Linked DNA regions of Macaca fascicularis. Each later gene encodes a partner of the first gene's protein in a complex. Links are inferred from orthologs where the notes say so. Each region holds a gene or a part of one and is shown in the gene's direction. Other genes may lie near its edges.

Region 1 (7,590 bases):
TTTTTCAAGTGTGATTTACATCTTTTTATTTATAAAGTAACAATTTTTTAATGATCTCTACTATTAATGCTTATGAGTCACAAAAATTTTCATATAGGTAGTACTTAATTTAATGTAAAATTTGAATTTACAAAAATTAGTAATCTTCAAATTCTGCACTGTATTTCCAGTGTTATAATTTTTAAAAATTGCATATTTCTTCAGTTGAGTTAAAATATGTAAATATTACAATGTAGGTTTCCATGTAATTTTTCAACGTTTATAAATGTTTTCAAATGTTCATCAGACTATATTTTCAGAGATTTGATTATTATTTTATCAATATGGTCAGTATTATAGGTGGTATTAGTAACACAAATCACTTAAGATGGTAAAGCCTGTAAATGTTAAAATGGAAGTTATGGTAAAAACATGATGAATTAATTTATGGCATATAAACCCTGGATGCCTTTGGGAAATCTGGAAGTGATTTTAATTGGGAAAGAAGCTTCATTGGAGTTTTCCCATCAGTCAGTATGCTTTTTGGACATGGAATTTAAGGAGTCTAATTGGTAGGATTTCCTATGCATACTATTTTGCATAGTTAGAATAACATTTATAATGGAGCATCAGATGTGTTATACAAGCTAGAATATTTAGAAATAGATTGAATAGTCCACATGACAAACAACTGTAAGCAAGGAGTAGAAATGATACTTATTACAGTAGATTTAGGATGTTTAAAATGTGGTTTTCTATAAACTGTTTCTAATTAAGGAGAGAATACTATGGTGAAAGAGAAAACAATTCTAACAATGCAGGTGGCAGTAAAGAGAAGTGAATCGATATTAGATAAATATAAAGTGAATATAAATATATACTGATATTGTTATAACAGAAATAGGGATTGATAGAATGCATAGGATTAAAGATTAAGGCACTATATGATGCCACAAACACATTTTATACTAAAGAAAGGCATAATTTTGGATTCTGCCTCTTAATTTCTCAGGGTCTTTGAAGGATTAAGTGAAATGTAAAATCCTAGATGAATCGTTCCTTTTCCTTTGTATTATAATAGATGAATTAAATACTGCTAAATGCCTTATGGTTCTTTAGAGAAATGTATAAATTATCAATGATATTGTTTTATCTATTAAATGTTTTCCACCTGATGATGATAAATGCTAAGTCTTGTTTATAAAGGCTGGTAGCAAAGATATAGACTAGAAACACATTACTTGAATTTACATTGATTTTATTTAGTTCCTGAAAGGAATATAGTATCATGAAATATAGAAGTTTAAAATTTAAAGGACAGTATATATGAAGTAATTCATAATATAGTTGGTAAAAATTATTTGATAGAATATTTATCATTTAGAAATAATTGATTGCAGGTTCTTCATTGTTTGATACATATATTGTTAGAATGAAATCGTGCCTTGTTTCTCGCATAGTGTTAATATACTGTAAAGTACTATACCTTAAAGTGTATTTTTGAAAACCTAAGTCTTTGTAACAGTGACAATAGTCATCCCAATTTCCGATTATAACCACTGTTCTATTTTTTATAGTGGTTATAATCTTAAATCCAGTACAAATCGACATCTACAGTATGATTCACATATTTCTGGCAAATTTCATAATCTCTAGAACAATGTGATTGCTAGATTTAACAATGAATTCAATTTTCCTAAGGTATGATTTTTAAAAAGTACCTAGATGGCTTGCTAGGAACTAATTATTAATAACCTTTCTCTTGGAACTGAAGTCCTTAATAGGAAATAAATATTTATCAGTAAGATAAAATATACTGTATTCACTTTATACTCTACTTTCAAAAATTCATGTTAATTCTTTAAGATAGGAATGAAGTGTTCCTTTTTTTTCGTACTTCTATACTCAGTTTGCATTAAATATATTATGGGAAATCCTTAATGCATTAAGCTTTCATGTAGGCTTATTAACTTGATGAATTTGTGGTATCAATAAAATCATACTACCTATGAAATGGAAGATGGTTTCAGAATCATTCACCCTCTTAAGAACAAGGAATGTGTCTTAATCATTTCTGTATTCCTAATTTATATGATAGTGTGTGGCATTTATTTCTTACCTAATATATGTTTGTTAAAGTAATATATGAGTTAACATGTAAAATCTATGTCTCTCAATTTAAAGCACAAACTCCTAAGGATTTAATGGTTATATAGTTTGAAATAACTGGCTAATTGCAAAAGTATGACTAAGAACTGTAGATTCCTTAAATCTGGTGTTCTTTTCATGATAGACTACTATCATGCCAGAGTATTTTTTTTTTTAGTCAAATGTATAAAAGTAATGACAAAAGTAAAATGAATGATGCACAGTGTACACACACATATACACACAAACATAGGGTGTTACTATAAATTTTTTTTAATGTTTTGTTTTGATTGTAAATTTTAAACTGTAGGAATCTATGGTTTTATGTAACAATTGTAATCTAAAAGATTTGTAATTAAGTCCTAAATGTTTTATATATAAATGTAAATGCTAAAAAATGTCATATCCACTTTCTTAATTATGAAACATTTAAGGGATAGACTAATTTTTTCACTTTCTACAGTAGTTATTCCTTTATAGTTCCAGGTTAGAGTTTATCCTGGCTTTGTACTTACCTAAGATTTGAAAGGTGGAGGATATACAGAAGCCATTATTGTCATGCGCTAGTTGTTGGCTAGCAGATGGGCAGATATAAAAGTCTTAGTGGCTCCTGGGCAAACTCCTGTTAATTGGCCACCCTGATGCTTTAGGTGGTTGAAATAATTGCTGGCAGATGTCCATAGACTCTTGGCATTCATAGCAGCTTTCTAATGTCCATTTTGAGAACCCTTGTCTCTGCATCTTCAGGCTAAGATCATCAGCATTAACTTTCCTGGCTTTCATTCCTGTAGCCCATTCAACCATTGTGTAGCTTCTGGTTCCTGAATTAAAACCCTTCCTACCTGGAAAACCTAGAATAACTTCTGTTTTTGTTAGTGAACCTAATTGATAGATTGGCAGACTGTATTCCAAATATGAGGGAAAAAGATTCTGTGACCCAGGGGAGATATTAGAGAAGAGTGCTGATTTTTCCAGGTTGGGTCATTCTACTCTGTCCTTTCTCTGTTCTTGCTTTTGGACTAATAAACCATTGACTAAGAAATTCCCAACTGGACTGTTGAATCTTAGTCATCTTTAACTTCAACTGACTTCACTCTTTCATTATCTGCTGTTCATGTCCTGGCAAAATCCCCATAATAGTTTTCTAAACCTTTTCTGTTATCTTCAGGATTCTAATCCTATTGCTTTTCATGACTAATAGTTGATATTATCTGAGTTTATTCCAGAGAAAAGGTTGGTGTGAATATTTTGTTAACAGGGTATTATGTGTGATTGCAAGGTTCACTAGGTTTTACCAGTGTTAGAAGGGTAAGTTGAGAACGTAATAGGCAGTTTCTTCTTCTGAGACTATAAGGAAATATGAGGGGTCAGATGTAGAGACTTAGTAGAATAATATCACCAAGCTGGCCTTAATCTAAATGAAGATGGAATAAAAATAGCAGTTTTTCTGATTTCTAGGATTTTTGTAATGAGTGGATCATTATTATTTATCTATTTAAATTGCTTATCTCAAGTTAGATCGATTAAAAAATGTTGGAGACATGATGATAAAATGAAAATTTAGGTGAACCAATACTAGGAATGAACTAGACAGATGATGAATGAAAACGATTTTTAAGAGCCAGCACTTAGTTTTAGTCAGAAAGTATTCAACTCTTGAGCCAAATCAGTTTGGCTTCATTACATTTTCAGGTAACTTTCATAATATGTTAGGTATAGAGCAGATGGAAGAAAATATTTTTCTAAGCTGCTGAATAATAGTTGGTGGATACTGGAAGTGTATGTAGCAAGCCAAGCAAGGAAATTAGAATAAAGGCTATTTTATAGCAGTGGAATAGCATATTACCTAATTTTGGAGCATAAGCATATTCCAGATATAGTGTTGCAGGCACTTAATAACCACAACAAAGTACTTATTTGAACTTAATATAATGAATACTACTAAAACCATTGTTTTGGTATGCCTTTAAAATGAAATTTTAAAAAGGCAAAAGGACTACTTAGTTATCCATCAACCTGCCAGCAAATCAATGAAATGTAAAATTGATAAATTTTTGCTCTTCTCATTGTTCTTTTCCTTTGGTTACTTAGGAAAAGAAGCCCATCTGTGTCCAGAGATCAGAATAGAAGATACGACCAAAGGGAAGAAAGAGAGGAATATTCACAGTATGCTACTTCGGATAGCGCAATGCCTAGATCTCCATCAGATTATGCTGATAGGCGATCTCAACATGAACCTCAGTTTTATGAAGACTCTGATCATTTAAGTTATAGGGACTCCAACAGGAGAAGTCATAGGCATTCCAAAGAATATATTGTAGATGATGAGGATGTGGAAAGTAGAGATGAATACGAAAGACAAAGGAGAGAGGAAGAGTACCAGTCACGCTACCGAAGTGATCCAAATTTGGCCCGTTATCCAGTAAAGCCACAACCCTATGAAGAACAAATGCGGATCCATGCTGAAGTGTCCCGGGCACGGCATGAGAGAAGGCATAGTGATGTTTCTTTGGCAAATGCTGACCTGGAAGATTCCAGGATTTCTATGCTAAGGATGGACCGACCATCAAGGCAAAGATCTATATCTGAACGTAGAGCTGCCATGGAAAATCAGCGATCTTATTCAATGGAAAGAACTCGAGAGGCTCAGGGACCAAGTTCTTATGCACAAAGGACCACAAACCATAGTCCTCCTACCCCTAGGAGGAGTCCGCTACCCATAGATAGACCAGACTTGAGGCGTACTGACTCACTACGGAAACAGCACCACTTAGATCCTAGCTCTGCTGTAAGAAAAACGAAACGGGAAAAAATGGAAACAATGTTAAGGAATGATTCTCTCAGTTCAGACCAGTCAGAGTCAGTGAGACCTCCCCCACCAAAGCCTCATAAATCGAAGAAAGGAGGTAAAATGCGCCAGGTTTCGTTGAGCAGTTCAGAGGAGGAATTGGCTTCCACGCCCGAATATACAAGTTGTGATGATGTTGAGATTGAAAGTGAGAGTGTAAGTGAAAAAGGTAAGCTTTCTAATTACACATTTTGCTGTAATTGATTAGATAAGCTTTTTTTTATAGGTTGTATTTCTGAGTGAAAATGTAATAGGTATTACTAGCTTTATTTTAAAAGTCTTTTGATGGTATCGAACGTGTGAAGAAAACTTCATGTTATAAAAAGTATCTTCTGTTGTTCAGGTATAAGAACAACAGAATGATGTTCTATTGATTTTTAAAAATTGCTTTCTTGCTTTGTTTCTGAAAGTTTTCTTGTATCACTTGGCAGCATATTTCAAAAATATCCATTAACTGTAGTTTTAAAAATAACATTAATTTTTTGTCTCCTTATAAAAGTAACAATATGTTCACTATAAAACATCTGAAAAAGTCTTCAAAGCATAAAGAATGAAATGCAAGTTATCCGTATTTCTTTCCCCCGATATAACCATTGTTAACCTTTTATTGTATTTTCCTTCTTTTTTTTTTCCTATGAATGTATGGTTTATAGATTTATAAAATTGGTATCTTGCTATGTATAATTTTGTATACTGATGCTTTCAATTGTTATCACATCATAAGTGGTTTTTCCCCAAACCATTAGATGTTCTTTAGTAATACATTTTAAATAGCTACACTAACATTCTATCATAAGATTATACCACAAACTAAATATTTCTTTATTTGGGGCATTGCCGTGGCTTCCATTTGCCAATGTAAATTATAATGGTTATCTTTATACATACTTTTTGCCTACATCTCTTGAGTATTTCAAAAATATATATTCGTACTTTGGATTATTTTAAGCTTTAATTCAGATTACCAAATTGCTTTCCAAAAAGGTTGTAACATGCTTTACTCTTGTCAGATGTACTTAAGTTTTCAGTCTCAATTCACCAAATCTTTGCCAATTGAATAGCCACAAAAATGCTCTCTTTGTCATTTTAATTTGAATTTGATTGTAAAGTTGAATGTTTTATACGTTTATCTGCATTTGATATCTTCTGTGAATTATCTGTTCATTCCTTTAATTCTTTCTGCCCTTCTTTCTCTGGGTATTAGTTTTTCTCTTATTGATTTAAAAGCGCTTTTTATATAGTTAGGATTTCACCCCATTTAACTGTTATTTGCCAAATACATTTCTCATTTTAATGTTTACCTAGTATTTTACTTTGTTTATTTGAAACTATTGAATTTAATGTAGCTAAACCTTTGTATTTGGTGATTTTTTTCCATTATTTTCATCTTTAAAAGCTCTTTATTCACTTCCAAATCAATTAAGTATTTAACTGTATATTATGTCATTTTTAAATTATTTTTTAACCATTAACTTTTTAAACATTCTGGAATTTATTTTGGAATATGAGAAAAATATCCCAGATTGATGAGTATCATACCGACCTCCTACTCCCAATTTCCTTATACCATTTGATGAATAGTCAATTTTTTCTTTATAGAATCAACAGGAATCACAAGGGATATTCAAGAACAGAGCTAGGTATGAAATGATTATGGAATCATTTTATACTGTACCAAAATAATTAGCTAGAACACATAAATTGAGAGTTTCCATTCTGAATTAAAAATAAAAACTGTGATATAAAAATAACTAACAAGAAATGAGGGGCCTACAGGAAGAGCCGTAAAATTTTACTGAGTAGCATAAGGAAGATGTGAGTAGCGGTTCCTAATTAGGAAGGCTAAGTAGTATAAAGATGCAAGCTCTTTGCAGATAATCTCTTGGAGTTAATAACATTCTAGATATAATACCAATTGGACCCTTGAAGTATTTTATTTCTAAAGTTAATCTGGAAGAAATAACACTTGTAAGAATAGTTAAGAGTAGTGAGGGAGAACTCACTTGACCAGATAGTATAAAATGACAATAATTGAAAATGTGGTACTGATAGATAATTTGGGCATATCAGTGAAATTTTAATATATTAAAACTAATAAATGATAAAATATAAAATGCACAACAATCCAAGAGGGAAGAGATAAACTATTCAACAAATAGGATTAGGGAAATGCATATGCAGTTTTAAAAAATCAAGTTAGGGGTATTTCATATTTGTTGCATTCAAATGATAAATACTAAGAAAAACTTGCTTATTAAAATATAATTATCTATAAAGAGCAACTGTCAATCTTAATTAATTTTTTGTGGAGTATATACAAATTTTATTTTCCCTAAGCTGTAGTACTTCCTTAAGTATATTTAATCATCTTTAGTTTGGTCATTTTTCACATTTGCCAGAGTATATCATGATACTAAAAAATAAGAAAAAGGATAGTTTTGTTATCTTTGGTGGTTTGGTTTAGATTCTATCTGGTAGGTATTTCTGTTATCCTTTGCTAAAGTAATGCCTTCACTTGTACCACACAAAAATGTAAAAAACCCAGAAATGTATCAATTCAGTGCTTGAAAGCTTTTTTATATGTGATATCTTTATTTTAGTATTCTGAAGTATCC
Region 2 (7,690 bases), on another chromosome or scaffold:
GTCTCGGCCTCCCAAAGTGCTGGGATTACAGGCTTGAGCCACCGCGCCCGGCCAGGGGTCTTCTATTTGATGGTAATGTTTTTTTATCCAAGGCTGTCTTTGCTGCTCCTTATAGTATACCTACATCTCATTGATGTTCAATAAAAATTTAAGACCGGGCATGGTGGCTCACGAGCCTGTAATCCCAACATTTTGGGAGGCTGAGGCAGGAGGCTCACTAGAGCCCAGGAGTTTGAGAAAGCCTGTGCAACATGGTGAAACTCTCTCTACAAAAAATAGAAAAATTAGCTGTGCTGATTTTTTAAAAATTTAAAGCAGTGACAGATACAAACATAGTTACTATTAGGCATTAAGATTACAACTGGGGCCAGGCGTTTTGGGTCATTCGTGTAATCCCAGCATTTTGGGAGGCCAAGGTGGGTGCATCACTTGAGGTCAGGAGTTCAAGACCAGCCTGGCCAGCATGGTGAAACCCTGTCTCTACAAAAAACACACAAAAATTAGCCAGATGTGGTGGTGAGTGCCTGTAATCCCAGCTACTCAGGAGGCAGAGGCAGGAGGATCACTTGGAAGTGGAGGTTGCAGTGAGCTGAGATGGTGCCACTGCACTCCAGCCTGGGCTACAGGTTGAGATTCTGTCTCAAAAACAAAAAACAAAACAAAACAAAAAACTGGTTTTCACATGTTTTGTTTGTTTGTTTGAGATGGAGTCTTGCTCTGTTGCCCAGGCTGGAGTGCATTGGCGCCATCTCCGCTCACTGCAAGTTCTGCCTCCCAGGTTCATGCCATTCTCCTGCCTCAGCCTCCCGAGTAGCTGGGACTACAGGCGCCTGCCACCATGCCTGGCTAATTTTTTTTTTTTTTTTTTTTTTTGTATTTTTTAGTGGAGATGAGGTTTCACCATGTTAGCCAGAATGGTCTCAATCTCCTGACCTCATGATCTGCCTGCCTTGGCCTCCCAAAATGCTGGGATTACAGGCGTGAGCCACTGCTGCCGGCCTACAACTGGTTTCATATGTTTTTTTTTTTTTTTTGAGACGGAGTCTCGCTCTGCCACCCAGGCTGGAGTGCAGTGGCCGGATCTCAGCTCACTGCAAGCTCCGCCTCCCGGGTTCACGCCATTCTCCTGCCTCAGCCTCCGGAGTAGCTGGGACTACAGGCGCCCGCCACCGCGCCCGGCTAGTTTTTTGTATTTTTTAGTAGAGACGGGGTTTCACCGTGTTAGCCAGGATGGTCTCGATCTCCTGACCTCGTGATCCGCCCATCTCGGCCTCCCACAGTGCTGGGATTACAGGCTTGAGCCACCGCGCCCGGCCTGGTTTCATATGTTAACTCATGTAATACCTCCAGCAACCTTGTGAGGCAGGACTTGTTATCATACTCATTCTACAGGTGGGGAAACTGAGGCACAAAGAGGTCACATGACCTGCCCAAGGCCATGCTGGTGATGAGAGGCAGAGTTGGGTTTTGAACAATGGCCTCACTCAACTCCATGCACATTCTGCATTTATGAAGCTCTTTCATGTGGGCTGGGGGCAGGAGGCCCTGTGGGGCTCAGCCTTTCTTACTATTTTAGGTGCCAGTGATACAGCGAGCAGGTTGCAGGGCAAGGGGCCCACATGGAACTGCCCAGTTAGGTATGTGGGGAGGGGGCCAGGCACGGTGGCTTAGACCTGTAATCCTAGCACTTTGGGAGGCTGAGGTGGGCGGATCACCTGAGGTCAAGGGTTCAAGACCAGGTTGGCCAACATGGGGAAACCTCGTCTCTACTAAAAATACAAAAAAAAAAAAAAAAAAAAAAAAAAAAAAAGCTGGGCATGGTGGCACGCTCCTGTAGTCCCAGCTACTCGGGGAGGCTGAGGCAGGAGAATCGCTTGATCCCAGGAGGCAGAAGTTGCAGTGAGCCAAGATGTGCCACTCCAGCCTGGGCTACAGAGGGAGACTCCAACTAAAAAAAAAAAAAAAAGAGGGGAGGAATGGCAGAGTTTCACTGGGGTCAGGGCCCAATCAGAGGAAGGGATAGGGGCTGGGGGACTCCAGAGAGGAGAAACAAAGGCTCAGCTTGGGGCAGTCAGGGAAGGCTTCCTGGAGGAGAGGATATTCAGACAAGACATTGATGGATGAATAGGAGTTTTCCAGTTACACAGTGGCATGAAGGGTGGGATCCAGTCAGAGTGTGGGTAAGGACCCATGGGCTGGGTGGCTTAGAGACACAGAGAGAGACCTAGACAGGATGCAGTAGACCTGCAAAAAGACTGTGCAGAGAGAGGCTAAGAGACACATGACTGAGAGAGAGCAGTGGACAGAGTCAGAGGAACAGAGACCCAGGGAGAGAAAGAGACCAGTCAGCAGAGTCAGAGACACCGAGAGGTAGAGACAGAGGAAGAGAGATACTCAGGAACAGGACGATCTGCTTCGTGCTGGTGCCGGGTGTACACACAAGAGCTTGCGTTTGCCTGTACTTGCTTGAGTATTGCAGGGAGGAGTTTGCCTAGGTTACCAGGGCAGGAATGTCCATGCATAGGTCGGGGGGACACGTGCACCATTTCAGTGCAGGTGGGGGTCTGCACGGGAGGAAACCTGCTTGGGGGCCGCCCTCGCCCCTTGTCCCACCTGCAACGAGGAGGTTTGGGGCGGGGCGCCCCTTTCCGGAGCCAGGCCCTTTAACGCCCCCCCAGCCCGCAGCGCCCCCGCCCCATCAGGCGTCCCTGGGCTCCGCCTGCCCGCCCCGCATCGGCGCCACGTCAGGCGCTGTCCGCGCCCCCGGTGCTGAACCAAGATGGCCGGTGGCGGCCGGGCCCCGGCGTGAGCCAAGCGCGGGCTGCAGCCGGGAGATGCCCCAGCCCAGCGGCCGCTGAGCCCGACCCGACAGAGCCGGCCCGGCCGCCTCCGGTCCGCCTGCGAGCCCGGAGACATGTCTCTGCTGTGCGTTGGAGGTAGGAGGCGAGGCTGGGGGTCGGGGTACCCGTTTGGACGCGGGCTGGGCTCGGGGTCCGCATGGATGCGGCTCCTAGGGGGATCCTGGGGGGTGGCCCGAGTCCAGGCGGCTGGACTTTTGAGAGGGGTAGCCCTTGTCGACGCAGCAGGGCCCCGGAAGGGATGATCCGTGTAGACACGGCAGGGCTCTCGGGGGTCCTGGTGGCCGCTGCTGGAGGGGTCGTGTGGATGCGGCTGAACGCGGAGGCCCGTGTGGACGTGGACGGGGATCCGGGGTTCTACCTGGAAACGATTTAGACTGGGGCGTCTGTGTAGACCGGGTTTTTAGAGGGTCAGTGAGGAAGAGTATGGGCTGGGTGGTTTGATTGAAGCCTGCAGGGGTACTTGGAAGGGATCTGGTGTTGTGGGCTGGGTTGCGGGTCCTCATGGACGCGGACCCGGCTGGAAATTCGAAGGAGAGTGCGGCGGGAGGGTTCTCCAAGCCGTGGGGATGTAAGATATGGGTAGAGGGGCTTGGCCATCAGGACATCCACGAGTTCTAGGACTCTCCCAGCCCTGGGTGTAAAGAGGACTGGAGTGGGGGGAGTGTGGAGACAGGAGACCCCTCCCAACGTCCAGAGAGGGCTGTGACTGGGGGTCTGGGGGCGCTTTTCCAGTTAACTCTTTGGTCTCCCGAGTGAGGGGGTTGGAGGAATGGCCAGAAGGTCTTCCCGCTCCCTGCCCCCTCCGGTTCTCCCAAACACGTTTCAGGGCCTTCTTGGCAGGGAGCCTACTTCTTGGAAGAGCAATGTCCCCTGGTCCCCCTCCCGGCCCATCCTCACCTCACCCACTTTGCGCTGGAGAGAGGGAGGGAGGGAGACGTGGGGTGGCGGGGGGAGCTATTTTGGGGCCAGAACGCCATCTGCACAGAGGCCCACGCCCAGGCCCACGCTATGCGTTGGGGTTGGGGGAGGGAGGGAGACGTGGGAGGGGCATGACCCCCTACCCCACACCTTTATGGCTCTGGGGTTGGGGAGAAGCCAGCCCACCCGAACCCAGGCGTTCTGGGCACTCCTGTTTGAGAACTCAAGCTCTGGGAGACCTTGGGCGGCAAGGGTGGAGGTGGACCGCCGTTCAACGCTTACAGAGCTCTGAACCCCTGGTTCTTAAGGACTGGGGTCCCCCCATCACTCCCACCTACTTCAAGAAGGCTGGGGTGGGGGAAGGGGTGTGTCGGCCAAGCCTGAGACGGCAGGCTTCGGGAGACCTGGAGCGACAGGAAGCGTGTGTGTGCTGAACTCCTGCTGCCTGGACCCAGGGTGGGCAGGCCTGGGATCCGGGAACCGCCCCCGCTGCCCCTCCTCCTCCCTCCCCTCCCCCTCGGCCGCTTCATTCACAAACCCTGCCCCGCCCGCCCGCTCCCCGCCGCGGCGGCTTCCGAGTGCAAATCAGGCCGGGATGGGCCGGCGTGGACGCGGGTGTTCTTAAAGGGACAGGGGCCTCCTTTCTCTAAGCTCGTTTCTGCTGGACGGGGCTGGGGGTGGTGGAAGAAGGGTCCCTAGAGTCAAAGGTCAACTCTTTCAGCCCCTAGCCTCCAGGCTTATGGAGTTAAGGGAGTAGGGAAGTGAAGGAGACCCCTAGGTGGCCTCCACCGCCTAGGCCTGAGGACGGAATGGGAGGAGAACTTGAATGTCCAGACCCCCTACTGACCTCTCCCCCTGCCCTAAGTAGCCGGGCTCTTAGAGGCGGCACTGGAGGAGGTTCCGACGTGGGTGTTCCTGGCAGACTCCTCTGTCCTCTCTCTTCTCCCCCCAGCATCCCGCCCCACCCCGCCTCACATCCTTCAAGTTGGGCTTCTCTGGAAGGTTTGCCTAGTGGAGTGAGGGGGGTGGGGATCTCACCCTTAACTCTGACGCAAACAGGAGGCTCGGCTGCGGGGGTGGCATTAAGGGGGGGCAGCAGGAGGCAAGAGGGATGAGGCTTCCAGAAACAGAGACGTGGGGGGAGGACTGTGCTGGATTCTGTGGACCTTATAGAGAGGGACACAGCTGAGTGGAGAGGAATTGCTGGGAGGGGCAAGGCTGGGGAAGAGGTTGACGGGGGTGGGAGGTAAGGCCCTGAGGTGTAAAGGGAGGTGTGAGGTTGGAGTGAGGAGGAGTAGGAGGCAGGGAGGGGTGGGGAGAAGAAGAAGTGCTGGGTGAGGCCAGTCTCCCAGGAAGAGGTGGGACGGTGCCCAGAGAGAGGAGGGGCTGGGATGGTTGAGCAGGAGAGATGGGGAGTGTTGGGGTGGGCTTGGCAGGAGTAAAGCTAGGCTGAGATGCGTTGATGTGTTGCCTGAGCTCAGTTGAGGAAATACCTGCCCCGCCTCCCCTCCACCGGGGACCCACAGGCGTTTGCCAATCCCTACACACATTCATACCCAGACTTGTTCCTGTGTGGACACAAACGCTTAGGATGCACGAAGGCTCCACGCAGACCACGTGCCTGGGAAGGCGCATTCCATAGGCACACGTGTGTACTCAAACGCCTGTGTGAACACAAGCATATACATGTATATAGGACACAGTCTGCCACTACAGATATAGTCCTGGCAACACATGTGTGAGTGTGTGTGTGTGTCTGCCAGCACGCATATAGATGTATCCACGTGTGTCTGATGAATGTTCACAATATACATGTCACATAAAGATCCATTCATGTCCAGCTGAGCGCAGTGGCTCAGGCCTGTAATCTCATCACTTTGACTTTGGGAGGCCAAGGTGGGCAGATCACTTGAGGTCAGGAGTTCAAGACCAGCTTGGCCAACATGGTAAAACTCTGTCTCTACTAAAAAAATACAAAAAATTAGCCAGGCTTGGTGGCGTGCTCCTGAGGAAGGAGAATCACTTGAATATGGGAGGTGGAGGCTGCAGTGAGCTGAGATCCTGCCACTGTACTCCAGCCTGGGCAACAGAGTGAGACTCTGTCTCAAAAAAAGAGATTCACTCATGTCCTAACGCTCAGACATGTACCCATAAATATCTGTTAAGGTCCCCAACCCCATGAAGCACACATATATTCATATAAGCATATGTCAAAGCCATGTGTGTACGCACATGACAACACTTGCCTGGACATTCAAACCACCCCCTTTCAACAAGTGGATGATGATGCATACAAGTAAATACACATTTGAGTATTTCATTGCACACAAGTGCATACATGTATGCATATAAACAAATACAGCTGCCACAGAACTGCATCCATGTACACGTGCAAACATCAATATGTGTGTTTTCCACCTATCACCCACAAGCTCACACACACCAGTGTGTCTCTGATGTAGTGACACCCCACTCCCAGACACACATGTGCAGACTCCCACCTGCACTGAAATGGTGCACATACCCTGCACACATGCACGCTCATATCCATGTACAGGCAGGCGCCTGCCTGCTCTGGTAAGATAAGCCAACTACTGCTGCAAATATCCAAGCAAGTATAGGCAAATGCAAGCTCTTGTGTATACACCCAGCACCAACACATAGCAGACCACCCTGTATGATTCATGGGCCTTATTTTTGCCCCCTTCATTTACTTATCCACGTGGAGTCCCGCTGCTCCCCAACATTTTAATCCACTCGCGAGGTCCTGGCAGGATCCTGAGGCTGTGAATGGCAAATGCTACCTGGTTCCTTCGTGGAGTCACTCATTTTATTTATGCAACAAGCATTAATTGAGCATCAACTGTATACCAGCCACTGTTCCTGGCTCTGGGGACCCAACCCTATTCCTATTCACCACCCATGCACCTCCCATGGAGTTAGAATGAAAGAGGTGAGGGAGGGCTAAGGGAGCTGAGGAGTGGGGTATCCAGGGCTCTCTTCCTCTGGGAAGCCTGCCCTGATTGCACCACCACCACCATTTATTTGAGTCTCAGAAGATGTGATGAGGGAGAGATTAGCAGGAGGGAGATGATGCTCTGGGTGGAGGGAACAGCATGAGCAAAACCATGGTGGTGTGAAAGGTCAGTTCCAGATCTTCCTATGTGCTTCACAGCATTTTGCACAGACCACTTGATGTTTTGTTTTGTTTTGAGACAGAGTCTCACTCAAAACTTGTTACTCAGGCTGCAGTGCAGTGGCACGATCTCAGCTTGCTGCAGCCTTGACCTCCAGGGCTCAAGCGATCCTCCCGCCTCAGCCTCCCAAGTAGCTGGGACTACAGGCATGCACCACCACACCCGGCTAACTTTTATTTTTATTTTTTTATTTTTTGCAGAAACAGGGTTTTGCCCTGTTGCCCAGGCTGGTCTTGAACTCCTGGGCTCAAGTGATTCGCCCTCCTCAGCTTCCCAAAGTGCTAGGATTACAGGTGTGAGCCACCACACCAACTGATGTTTTAAAGGCTCTATAAACATTTTATGAATAAATGACATGAACAAATCAGTGAATTTAGGTGAGGGCAGGTTTGCTTCACAACTTACAATAATATCAACAACAAACTCCATTTATCCAGCTTTTGTTTGTTTGTTTGTTTTGTTTTTTAGAGACACAGTCTCACTGTGTCACCCAGGCTGGAATGCAGTGGTGTGATTTCGGCTCACTGAAACCTCCACCTTCTGGGTTCAAGCGATTCTCCTGCCTCAGCCTCCCAAGTAGCTGGGATTACAGGCATGTGCCACCACGCCCAGCTAATTTTTGTATTTTTAGTAGAGATGGGGTTTCTCATTTCTACTAAAAATACAAATACATCTCTAGTGGCCAAGCTAGTCTCGAACTCCTGACTTCAAGTG

The links. The genes of interacting proteins can lie anywhere in the genome.
Region 2: the proteins of RIMS2 (region 1) and UNC13A are in contact, whole or in part, in a crystal structure (PDB 2CJS), measured with the Rattus norvegicus proteins. The link is inferred for Macaca fascicularis from reciprocal best matches to the Homo sapiens genes RIMS2 and UNC13A. Residues at the interface, in XP_063118965.1 of Rattus norvegicus: Asp102, Gly103, Cys104, Ser109, Gln112, Val123, Leu125, Ser127, Asn128, Lys129, Val134, Met135, Trp136; in NP_074052.2 of Rattus norvegicus: Tyr23, Ile36, Trp65, Leu69, Ile70, Trp71, Asp72, Thr73, Met74.

The regions. Positions count from the first base shown.
Region 1 is NC_088382.1:113,490,751-113,498,340, forward strand, and holds part of RIMS2 (regulating synaptic membrane exocytosis protein 2), read left to right. Parts: intron 1-4,218; coding exon 4,219-5,144; intron 5,145-7,590. UniProt on the Homo sapiens protein: Rab effector involved in exocytosis. May act as scaffold protein. Plays a role in dendrite formation by melanocytes.
Region 2 is NC_088393.1:18,017,934-18,025,623, reverse strand, and holds the start of UNC13A (protein unc-13 homolog A), read left to right. Parts: upstream 1-2,753; 5' UTR 2,754-2,914; coding exon 2,915-2,936; intron 2,937-7,690. UniProt on the Homo sapiens protein: Plays a role in vesicle maturation during exocytosis as a target of the diacylglycerol second messenger pathway.